2 linked regions of the Drosophila melanogaster genome follow. The protein of the gene in region 2 interacts with the protein of the main gene of each other region in a pairwise test. Each region holds a gene or a part of one and is shown on either strand. Other genes may lie near its edges.

Evidence for each region. The genes of interacting proteins can lie anywhere in the genome.
Region 1: the proteins of sens-2 (region 2) and phol interact in a two-hybrid assay, tested with the Drosophila melanogaster proteins (one large-scale study listed by BioGRID).

What each region holds. Positions count from the first base shown.
Region 1 is NT_037436.4:9,452,303-9,458,750, forward strand, and holds phol (pleiohomeotic like), read right to left. Parts: upstream 3,980-6,448; 5' UTR 3,436-3,979; intron 3,341-3,435; 5' UTR 3,238-3,340; coding exon 1,228-3,237; 3' UTR 501-1,227; downstream 1-500. Other genes in the region: ghi (ghiberti), read left to right, coding at 1-141; CG3437 (uncharacterized protein), read right to left, coding at 4,096-4,378, 4,464-5,000, 5,060-5,233, 5,292-5,347; CG3552 (uncharacterized protein), read left to right, coding at 5,687-6,055, 6,109-6,448.
Region 2 is NT_033779.5:6,819,430-6,825,407, forward strand, and holds the start of sens-2 (senseless-2), read left to right. Parts: upstream 1-2,504; 5' UTR 2,505-3,170; coding exon 3,171-3,630; intron 3,631-5,978.

The DNA.
Region 1 (6,448 bases), on a different chromosome or scaffold from region 2:
ATTTTCATGGTACTCTTCTGCGTTTTCTGGTACTTCAACTACTCCGTGCTGCTCTCGCTGGCCGGATTGATTGGCCCAACAAGTGCCTCCATCGCGGATATTATTCCCGGAGTTCAAGGACATGGGCTCAAGGTCACCTAAAATACCGATCAGACCATGCCCAGACCAATCGTGTGTACTGTTCTCCGTTCCAATATCCAAAATAGCCGCGTATCTGTACCTCGCCGCGATGCTTTATCTAATCCGCACGCGTTTATACACCGCAATCAATGAATGGAACGTAGCTGTAGGCGACACATGTCCAAAGAGGCGATCTAATCGCTTGCTGATCCGAATCTGAAGTGGACAACACCCGGCGACTGTCCATCAATAGCTGCCTCACCGTTTAATGTAGTTATCTAGCAGTAGTTACAAGTTTAAAGTCAGTTAATAAATCTAACGCTTACACAATCGCACTGTGAAATAGTTAAAAAAAGAAATGATAAATGATATACGCAAGTGTTGTTGCATTGTTTTCCTGGTTTATTTTTGTTTAATTTTGAAGAGGTATTTCCCTTGTTTATTCCGACTTAACTGATGTGCTTCCATTTGTGAATTATTGTTAGCGCCAACAGACGTTGAACATGCTAAATCCGTACTTCAATGCTCTAAGTGTTATAATTCATTACAAAAATATATAGATAGCCTATGGTGTATGCGTATTGAATATGGTAAAACTAGTTTTGTGTATTTTTCTTATTTTTTTGTTTGTTTTGTTTTCGTAGAAAAGAAAGTGCGCGTTTTGTTATTCGAGCGAAGATCGCACACGATTAGTATCAGATCAAATTGGGGCTTTTTAAGGTGACAGTTTGGCTGAGTTCTTCGGGGATTACGGTTCAGTTTTGGTTTTGCGGGGGGACTCACTTAGCCTACGGTACAAGCTAAACTCTTAGAACTGCTCTTCATCCGTGAAGGAAATTAATTAATGGCTACCATCTAACTTCCTTTTGCACTGCAATCCTATTTTGTTAGAGAATGAACTTACACTACTTACTTAAAGGGCGGGCAGCGGGCGGATGTGTTCACCAGGTGACAATCTTGTCCGGCCGCTCCGCTCGTTACAGGTTACAGATACAGATAAAAACTGGCTACAACTAACTGTACAATAATGCCTTCCGGAGCCAAAGGAGCTTTAATATTTTAACCATCTCATGCCAATACCTGCCACACATTAAAGCGCACTACTAGTTAGGATGTTAGGGACGTGCCATCCAGCAGCACCGACGCCACCTCCTCGTTCTGTTCTACGTACACTAGACGAGGATCCTCGCCAAACTCCAGTCGCCCGTATCTGGCCACCAGCGGTGTCTTGTTGTTGCTCACTTGCGGTGCGCGCGGCCACTTCCTTTTGGGCTTCGTGTGCGTCAGCATGTGGGACTTGAGGTTCGTTGACTGGGCGAAGCACTTGGAGCAGCCATCAATGGGACAGTGGTAGGGCCTATCGCCAGTGTGTATCCGTACGTGGGTGCGCAGATTGAAGTCCAGCGAGAAGCGCTTGCCGCACCCCTCAAAGGTGCACTCAAAGGGCTTCTCGCCGGTGTGCACCAGCTGGTGGCGCTTTAGCTTGGAGCTCTCTACAAAGCTCTTGCCGCAGACGTTGCACACATGACCGCGCGGTCCGTGCGTGTGCATGTGCTTGCGCATGGCCGAGTGGTTGCGAAACTCCTTGTTGCAGCCGCGATGGGTGCAGCGAAACTTTGGCTCCTCATCCTCTTCGCCGGCCGCGCCAGCTGCTCCCATGGCATTACCAGCCGTCTGATTGGCCACTGCAGTCGGTAATTTGGTTACAATTGTGGGTCGTTGGGGTCGGGCTGGATTGCTGGAAGCCACTAGTGGCGGTGGGGGATTTGGTGTCGCCACCTGAGCCGCCGCCGTGAGTTGCCTCTTTGTCACCTTTGACTGATTTCCCGCACTTTTCAGTCGCACATTGGTGCTGCTGTTCTGGAGCACTAGTTTTGGGAGAGCCGGCTGTGGATTCGGTACACATCCGTTGACCTTCGATAGCGCTACCGACACAGTGGCTGGACCTGGTCCCGGTGTCTGTATCAGCTCCACATTATTCGGCATGTTCTCGATAAGCTCGATGTTACCATAAGCTTCTTCCAACTGGTTTTCCGCATAGATCAACTGTTCACTTAGCGGCTGGCTGTCCTCCTCGCCTTTGACATCGCCCATAAATGCATTAACCACCTCCTCCACATCCGTGACCGCAGAGGCGCTGAATGGATCGGGTAGGATGACGTACTCGTTGCCGATGCCATCGCTTAAAACATCGTGGTTGATCATGTGCTCGTCAATAATAAGCTTTGGCATGCTGGGTGATCCTTCATTCTGGGCGGCGGAGGAGGACGTCACGGATGTGGTGCCAGCACAACCAGGTGGTTCCTCCAACTCCTCCTCCTCGTCCTCATCCTCCGAGTTGAGCGAGGACCAAAGGGTGACATTGAACTCATCCTGCGTTATGCGTATGGGTACCTTTGTTTGCTTCCAGCGCTTGGCCGCTGAATTTCCCATGGGCCTCTCGACGCGACTGCTTCCAAATAGCTTAAAATCCTGCAGCTGGCCATTCGAACTGTTTGAATCCTCGGTCGCCTTCATATAGAAGTCGCTCTCGAGCTGCTCCTCCTTGATGTTTGTGGCCTCGATGGTGGTTAGCATCTCGGAGGCAATCTCGAAGGCATTTGTCGTAGCCGGCGCGGTAGCCTCATCATCCTCATCGCCATCGCCATCGCAGGAGGATGTCATCTGCTGTCCATCCTCCTCGATGAATTCCTCATCGTCGCTGGTCTGCTGCATGATGATCGGCGGCGGCAGTGCATCTGCCGTAGCCACCGTGACCGAGGTAAGTCTGTCCAGCCGATCCACCGGATAGTATTCATAGTGCTCAAAGAATTCGCCTGAGTCTACGACGATATTAGCCTCATCATCATAGTCGTCGATGATCTCCTCGATCAGGAAGCTCTCGCTTTCCTCGCCCATCGGATCGCCCGCCAAAACGGTGTACGGATCTTGCTCGACTATGGTAGCCGCCGTAGGCTGGTGTGCATGAGTGAAGTATGCCGACGACGGGGCGGAGTGCAGGGGCAACGGTACCGCCGCAGCGGCCAGCGATAGATTCTTCACGATGGGCGCTCGTATCTGATGCAGTTGAGGCTGGAAGTTCCCTCCGACGCCGACGTGATGATGATGACTTGTCATCGCGGCTGCTCCGTCTGCCTGTCTGTGTGCCTGTATCTGTATGCTTGTATTTGTGGGCGCTCTTGCTTCGTGCGTGAGTGTTAGTGTTGTGTGTGCGAGCGCGCTGCGGAAAAAGTGGGCAATTAGTATCTGGCCAAAAATCCGTATTATGTATATATCTCTATATATTCGCCAGACTTCCAAAGTGGACAAACGTACGTGTTTTCGTCGGTATTGCTGCACTGAACTGGCCTTTCCCTCCACCTCTTTTTCCACTTTTTTGTGGCCAATGCCTATCGTTTATTGTGCGACGGCGGCGGCAGACGGCGAATGATGCGTACCGCTCGCTCCGCTCCGCCCGCCACTCTCCTGCTGCCCAATGGCGGGTTAATTCTCGCTTTGGATGACCACCTCGATCCCGCTCACCTCGGGCAGTGTAAATATTTTGAATTTTGCCGGTTAATATGGCGGAATTGTATTTTCCAGAAACGGCTCGGTACTTTCTCTCGCGTTGCGTGTGTGGGGTGTGTGTGTGTGTAGTGTGCAGCGACAGGCGCCACAATGCAACCCTGCGCGCGCTTTGTGTATATCTTAAGCGGTTTATTCAGCGGAGATTGGTTATTCTCTTCGCATTACTTCGCAAAACAGCACAAATGTAATCTTAACTACTATTCAAAAATTGCATTTTATTAACCTCCAACTGGCAAACCATTTATTAGCTGTAAATACCGCGGCGTTCTGTCTTTCGATAAGCGATAGGTTTGTTGTTCTGCCACCAGGGTTGCCACCCGACAAGAAAACAAATGCGCAATAACAATAAATTAATCTCCATGGCTTTACTATTATTTCGAGCTATTTACAATTGTTGCTCATAAATAACTAGTTAAATTTCTTTAGCAATAGAACTTCTGGAATATAAATACGCTTCAGCTTCGACTCCACAAAGCGCTCGTGTTGGGGTGTAAATACCTCTGCATTGTGGTTAAAATCAGTCTTATTAAATTGCACCGCCTTCCTATCCGCTGTTAAGGATATATTATAATGCCGACATTGGTCCTGCAATCCTGTTGGCCCATCGAACAACAGTAAACGCAACAAGTAAGGAACCGGCACCGTAAGCTGTTTGTTGTTGTAGGCATGCGTGAAAATCTGCAACAAACTCCTGCAAATATACATACATACATATGTATTTACATTAAAAATGCATCATGTCAATAAGAGATCCAATAGAAAAAGTTATACTGTACCTCCTTATCACCTGCAACTTGGCGGCAGCTACCGCGCACAGAATATGCGGCAATTGTGGCACACCCATGAGCACTCTATACAAATTGCCCTGTTGGAAGGCCAAACAGATCCCAAAACAAAGCTTAAACGTCGCATCCCGACGCACATAGTCCGGTAAGGTGAGGGCGCGTGTAAAGGACTCGGGAGAACCCAGATTAAACAATTGATACAGGCTCTCTATGAAGCAGCGCCGCTCAAGCTCACGAACGGTGGGTTCTCTAGATGATTCCAAGTCCTCCAGTTCTTCGTAACAGCAAAGCACTCCCGTGAGGCACTCTTGCAAATGCTGATTGCATATCTTGAGATCGAACTTCTCGATGGGCTCCTCACACAAGCGATAGCGACTATATGCCAGAAACATCACAATGGGCTCTAACAGGCAAATCTTCTGACTGGCATCGTACATCTGGATCACGATCTCCCGACGCACCGCCCTCAATCGATCGAATATGAAGTCGTAAGCCACATTGTACGGCTTTCGTGTGTCCAGGATTATGCTGCACAGTATATTAATTATCAGATTTAACTTGGCTAACTAAGCGCCTAATATACTTGCTCCTTGAGCAGATATTCCACTGTTTTGGTCAATGCCGCTTCTGTGCGCATTTCCTTGGGCATGGGCATCTTGACATCGGCGGCGGAGCGTGTAAACTCCTTGACCAGGACTCCTGGCTTGTTCTTCTGGCCATTTTTTAGCTCGAAATAGTGCAAAAGCTTCTCGCGAATACGCCTGAATGTATTAAACGGTGTTATTATATTAAATTCGGGTTTAAATTTCGTTTACCTACATTTTCGCCTCCCCATCGGGACAGAAACTTTCGCAAGATCCTCGAACTTGGGCCATTTGTTGATGAATGCAGCCAATTTCAGCAGCAAACAAACCAGGGATGCAGGTCTTTTGGATCAAAGGCGTAGCTCAAATTTTTTAATGGGGTTCAGAAAATAAAATATGCTTCTTAAATCTCGTACGCCAGCTTCTAACTAATAAAATTCCGAAATTGGGACTTTATTAGGATCCATATTTATAAAAACGAACGCGCTGACTCGTTTTTTTTTTTAACCCTCTTGCCACGCCGCTGAAGTCAGCAATCAGCTGTCTGGGCGGTCTGGGTTGTCAGGTTGTCTGGGCCTTAAAATTGTACTAAATTTTCAGTTTGTTTTTCCCTGCCCAGCACAAAACGAAATGTTTTCGCGGCATTTCGCAGCCTTCTTTCGATTCAACCGATATGTTGCCCAAAAATACAGCAGTTTTATAGCCGCCGGCTTTAGCAACAGGTTTTCGCTGAAGGTTGCAACTCTGCTGCCGCTGGTAGTCCTCCGATCCGCGGATTGCAGGCAAAAAGAGGACCAGGAGGTAAAGCGACCGGTCCGTAGGCGAACCATGAGCAAGGTTAAGTACGAGACGAGTCTGGAGGGGAGGGCGCAGCTCTATCTCAACGCCATGAAGGTGAGATGGGACCAGCTGCACAAGGTGCCCGGGCTGTTTTCATATCAATTGGAGAAATCCCCTCAGAGCCGGAAAATACCAGGATACTGGGGCTTCTATGCGGAGGTGAGTGTCATATTCTTGTTCTCTAGTAATATTTATTGATTCTTGTCCTCCAGCTTAATTCAGATCGAAACCGTAAGCGCCGACGTCCCCAGACCATCGAGAGCCTCAATCCCACCTTTAAGCACATGATGTTCAACTTCAATAAAGTCGATGCCCAGGAGGTGATCATGACCATTGATGATGCACACGGCAGTCCCGAAGTTCAGATGATCATAAACAAGAGCCCAATCACCAAATATCATACTTTGATCTGCCCGGAAGTAGGTAAAAACCATACCCAACGGATTACCCGTGACGCTCTTCAGTTCTGCATCACCTTTATGCGAAATATCGATGATAAGGATATGCGGATGGGTTATAATAGCCCTGGAGCGCTGGCATCTGTAAATCACC
Region 2 (5,978 bases):
ATACGGCTGCACCAAGTGGACGAAGGTGGAGGAGGTGCGGCTATAAGGAATTCCAATTGCACTACGCCAGGATTCTGTCACTATTCTACACCGGGAAACTATTATATTTGATTATGTAAATGATACCATATCCCATAAATATACTTATCCAATTCAAACAAAGATCAAGTAGGACATACACTTTGCTTCTACTGCGCTATAATTCCCTACTGGTTCTATATATGCAACTAACTCTCTGTTTCTCGTTTAACCAATCAGCACACAAATATACAATATTATATTTACCACTTTGAATATCCCACTTCATTTCTTTCTGTGTAGAGAATAGAGCGAACCGACGAAAATTACTCTGATAACCGATTGTGTGCGCTGATAACTGATAGCCATGTTATTATTAAGGGCTATTAAAATTCTGATTGAAAATTCATGTCAAAAATATATTTTATTATCCATTATAAAACTTCATTTCGGTTCTTGATTACAACCGGGCAATATAGAATCCAATCGAATTGTAACGATTCGAATTGTTCAAAAACGATAGCTGCTTACACTTCTACGGTGATATGGCAATGCGAGTGCATAGATAGCGTTTTCAAATAAAAGCCGGTTGAGTTATCAGACTACCATATATGATGTCTAGCCTTATAATAACTACTCTATGTAATTTCTTGCGGGATAGGATTTGTTTAACTTATAGTGTTATTTAAAGTTTATAGTGAAATAGATGTTCCTAATTGCTGACACTCCCTTCATTCTTCATTTTGCTCGACTAGCAAATTCCGTCGCATTTTAATGGACGCACGTCAATCTCCTCTGCATATCAGTCAGATTTGTAGACGCTTCTCTAATTGGAAGTAGAGCAGATAGGGAATGGGATCTCTACCAATCCGATGGGAATCGGAGCGAAGAGCACTCCACTTGTTCACACTCCATCCTCGACGCACTAAATTTGGTGTGTAATTCTTTAAATCGTTGCCATGTGTTGGAGGAACGATGCCAAAACCGAGTGACACCAATAATCCGTAGCTGGGATCTGGGACGCCCAGAAAGATATTCAAATCTGTGGCGAAGACTGGAGGGACAAACGGGAGCTCATAACACTTATTTATGCGACCGATGAAATGGGAACATTAGCTCTTTGTGTTTTGTAAATATTTGTCATAATTTCGAGGGGCGCCCAACGACATGTGCGCCTCAACCAGACGATTTTTTTTTTTTTATTTTCAAGGCATTTAAAGATCCCCCACCACCATTGTGCATTTGTTTTCCGAGTTGTGCTTTTAATGTCGCAATTAAATGCATGAGTTTTTAAAAAAATTAGATGCCTGTCAAAATTGTCTAATTTATGGTTCACAGAAAGCTTTGTTCCAAAGTTGTCCCCCCAAAATTAAGAAGCTATTGGGGAACCACCAGCTTCTGCTTTTTTTCAGAATTTTCTGTTGGAATTTCAAACTGAAAATATTCTAATTTCTGCTAAGAAATGCATCTGCTTTAAACTTAAAGACTATCCCTATATTGTGTACTTTTGATTCAACATTTGGTAGATTTGGCTTATATATTCCTTTAAAAAGGTTGGCACAATTAAAAATGTATTGTTTTAATAATAGTTCCCGAAGGAGATCATCTAAATCTTCTCTGTTGTTACTTCTAGTCACGTATCTGCTGAGTAGTATGAAAACCAATTTCCCAGCATAGATAATGAAATTACACACTTGAAGCCATAACTAAATGGCAAACAATAAGAGGTGAAAAGCCCTTTGGCTGAATAAAATCAAACAGCCATGCGAAGTGGCAACCAACTTTGGCCCCCAGGAAATCACTTAGCCACCGTTCGCCGAGGCAGAAAGCATTTGAAGTTAATGGCGCAAAAACCAATCGCAAGTGCCAAGTCAGAGCTGCCAAAGGCAAAGGCGATTGGGGGATAGTCAAGTGCGAGGAATGCGACATTAGTGTTTGCCGAGGTGCCACGAACCACTTGAAATTAAATGGCGCGGCGCACTTCAAACGCCAGAGACAACAGCGATTACCAAATCGATGGCGGTTTGAGCTGATCTACAAAGAAAAGAAAAAGAAGATAGAAAATCGCAGAAAATCCAGAGAGCCCGCCCCCAAAAGCAGAGCAGGTATTACCAAACCAAAGGCCAGCAAACACGCGCCCAGCACACGCACACCACCCAACACCCATCCACTTCGCTAACCAACTCCCACCATCACCCACTTGCCACCATTGTTCGGCGGTGGCATTGATTTGAACGAATCAAAGCGGTATGCGCACTAAAAATACCAACAACAAGCTACCAAAAATCCAGATTAACCATGGCCAGCTGGAAAGGGGGCGTGGCCACGAGAATGGCAAATGGTGGTTGCTGTTCCGATTCCACTTGGACATTATTCCGCCGTTCCAATTGGAACCAGCCGTCGTCTCGCTCGCACTCGCATCGCCGCAACGCAGTGGTGGTGGTGATAGCGTTTCCGCTGAGTGGAAACTCGATTGCCGCTCCGCTCGTCAGTCGCCTGCAGACGCTCGCTGACAGCGGTAAAATCGGAGCAGCAGCAATCCGCATCCGAGCGGGCATTCACATCGAATCGTATATACAACGAGAGCCGTTCTCTCGCTGACGTCGCTGCCAGCGTCGACGTCGCTGCCAAATCTAGGCGAAAATCGCAACACTTGGCATACACAGCATATGGCACTTGGCCGCACTCCGAATCCCTGGCTAAAAGTCAAGTGCAGGAGCAGCAGCAGCCGCAGCAGCAGCAGCAGCGCCAGAAGCAGCAGCAGCTGCGGCGCCAGCAGAGTTTTCCAAGCTCGGCAGCAGAGATTCACTCTCGGTCGGGCGCCGGCGTCAGCGTTCCACGGATCCGTGATTAGGTTTTTACGGTGCTTCAGTCCGCTCGATGACGCCGAAGCCAGCAGTTATGCGCCCAGTAGCAGCAGCATCAGCAGTCAGAGCAGCAGCAGCAGCATTAAAGCCCTAAATCTGTGACACTTCCTTCCGGTAGCCACGTTGCGTATACGCCACCGTAACCGCATTCGCATGCCGTCGCGTAAAAACCAAACAGTTTCAGTGCCAAATCAAAAGAACCAAAGCCAGCTGATAAAAGCCTAAGCTAATCCAAAGATAAACATATAGAAAAAAAAAACTTATTGAATCAGTGATAAAACCGTTATGGACGTGGCCAAAATGCAAGCCACTTCCGGTCAGCATCTGCTGCATCCGGCCGCACCGCCCGCCCACCAACACCACCTGCCCCTCGACTACAGCCTGGGCAACTTTAAGCCAGCCATCGCGTCTGACTTTCCCGGACCCTTCCTCACCAGCCAGCAATCCTCGTCGGCCTCCAATTCCGCCTCCTCCTCCGCCGCCGCCACCGTTCCGCTGCAGGTGCGCGATCTCAGCGCGCTGACGGCCATGGCCACGATACCCTCGCCCACCCAGCTGCTTCACCAGCGCATACAGATGTCCGCGGACGCGGCCTTGGGCCACCACCAGCAGCAGCCGGCACAGAATCCCAATCCCAATCCGAATCACCCGCAGCCACAGATGCCGCCGGCCTCCACGTCGCCGCACGAGTACGCGCCTATGTCCGCCTTCAAAGCGGTGCTGCCCAAGAAGCGAAACTCCGACGGTAAGCCGGAATCACTCACTATATTTGCATGCTCAATCGTAAAAGCTTTGAAAATCCGTCAGCAATTGGGATTTTAGTTCTTGTCACTAAGTGAAATTGAGTTCTGTAAAATTTTGTTAAGTGCATAAATCGTATCAAGTTCATTGTCTCCAAATAATTCACTTTTGAATGTGGTTGATTGCTCATTTTTATATGTGATGATTTATATTTATTGAAATTCAGTGGCAAACCTGTGGCAATTTATTTATACAATCACTATAAATTGTATCAATAATTAATTACTTCGTATTTCAAAAAAAGCCTTCCACATATAAATATAGATGCATATTCCAATTGCATATTATTTATTCCATTTAGAAAGTTATCATTTTGTATTTCTAAAAAATTAAGTAGTCTCGTAAATATTTCAAAATTTTGCTAGAAAAATTCATCAAATATAGATTTTAATATTTAAATAAAATAATTCCTTAAAATTAAATCTGACCAAGTTTCTCAGAGATTTCTGAAGAATTTACTCTATTTAAATATTAGTAAATCAATAGATCGTTAAAAAAAAATGCAGTGAATGATATTCAGCGCATTTCTGAGTATCAACATTTATCAAATTAAATTTTTGTGCAGCCTGCGAACAGATTGGCATAAACCCAATCACACTCCCACCACATTTCATATGCCCCGAGTTAATTAAAAAAAAAAATGAAAACAAAAGGGACTGAAATCAACAACACAGAAACCGAAACAGAAACGGTGAGACTCCAATCCGCGGCGAGTGGCTACAAATCCCCCAAAGGCTGGTCAGCGGGCAATGTAGGAATTTTTAAAAATTTATTTGAATAATGTGTGATTTTAAAATATCACACACTGGCCATGTCCGAGTGAAAGCCCAAAGGCTGCACGGTGTCGGTTTAATTGGAAAAAAGCCCAAGTACGGTGGGAAAGCGTGGAAAGCAAAAATTGTTCGGGGGCAGCAGGAGCTGGCCGGGATATTCATTATTCCGTTTGTGTGTGTGTGTGTGTGTGTGTGTGTGTGAGTGAGCGCGACGCTTAATGGGCAAATCTTCTGTGCGGACATTGGGGCGGAAAAATGGATATCGGGGATTGAAAAATCCATAGCTGGACCACAGATACACAGATACAGATACGGCTGCGAACGGCAAACCATCGAACAAACTTGTAGATACACAGTTCAGTCCAGTCCAGTCCAGATACATCCACACACACAAGTGTGCTTGTGTATCTGTGTGCAGACGGCGTTGTCATCGCCATCGCTGTTGAATTTCAAATATGGGCATTGAATGAATGAATGAGCGTTCGCACGGGATCCACAAGCTTCAGTGTTGTCCGAAATGAACCGAACAATTTGGCTTTAAAAGGACTTTAAGAAATTAAATTCCTTATAAAATGGATTTCAGTATGAACCAATTTTGTTTTAATCTTTCACTAGCTAGATGCAGACAGCTGTGTCTCCTTTTTCCAAACTTTAAGTAGATTCGGACTTTTCCAGCCAAGCTGTCAGCACTGACCGTCATGTGTGTGTGAGTGTATCTCCCCTCTCTCAGTCTATCTTCCCTCCCATATTTCCCCACTCACACACACACACAGATACAGAATCAACACACACAGGGCAGCGACAAGCGGATTTCATTTACCGGCATTACATGTATCCAACGGATATGTTTTTAGCTCTCCACCGCTTCCAGCACAGACATGGATATGCGGAAAAGCAGACACACACACCAGACACACACACACACAGACGCACGCAAACACACACTCGCACACTGAATTTTCAATTCCGTTTGCCGCGACAAGCACCCCGACTTCCCCCCCCCCCTCTTTTCCAACCTTATTCTTTCTCTAGAGAAAATGAATTTCGCTTTGTTTGTTGGAATATTTTCTCGGTTTTTGGTGGGACAATATATATTGGTTGATGTGGCGAAAGTTCGCAGGGCTCTTTGGTGACTGATTGGCCCCTCCTGTTGAAGGACGTAAACTTTGTGAAAATCTGTATGGCACTGCAGTTTAAGCCTTTGAATTTAATGGATTAAAAGGAGATGATATTGTATCCTGAAAGTAGGCATCAGTTATTGCAATGTTATGTGGAATCTTAGAATTTCTTGCTCCTTCTCTGTGCAGCATTTTAAAGTCAGTAATTAATAGCTTAACCTCGTATAGAATAGAGTAGCTTGCTGTGTACCACTTATCTTTTCAACCATTGAGACACAACCTTGCCCCGAAAGGTCAGTCTGAAATATTGTCTCGATTTCCCATTAGCCAACCAACCACACACCCACGAGTGGATGATCTTAATTTTTGTCATTTGCCACCGCCGTATGACTCAATTAATG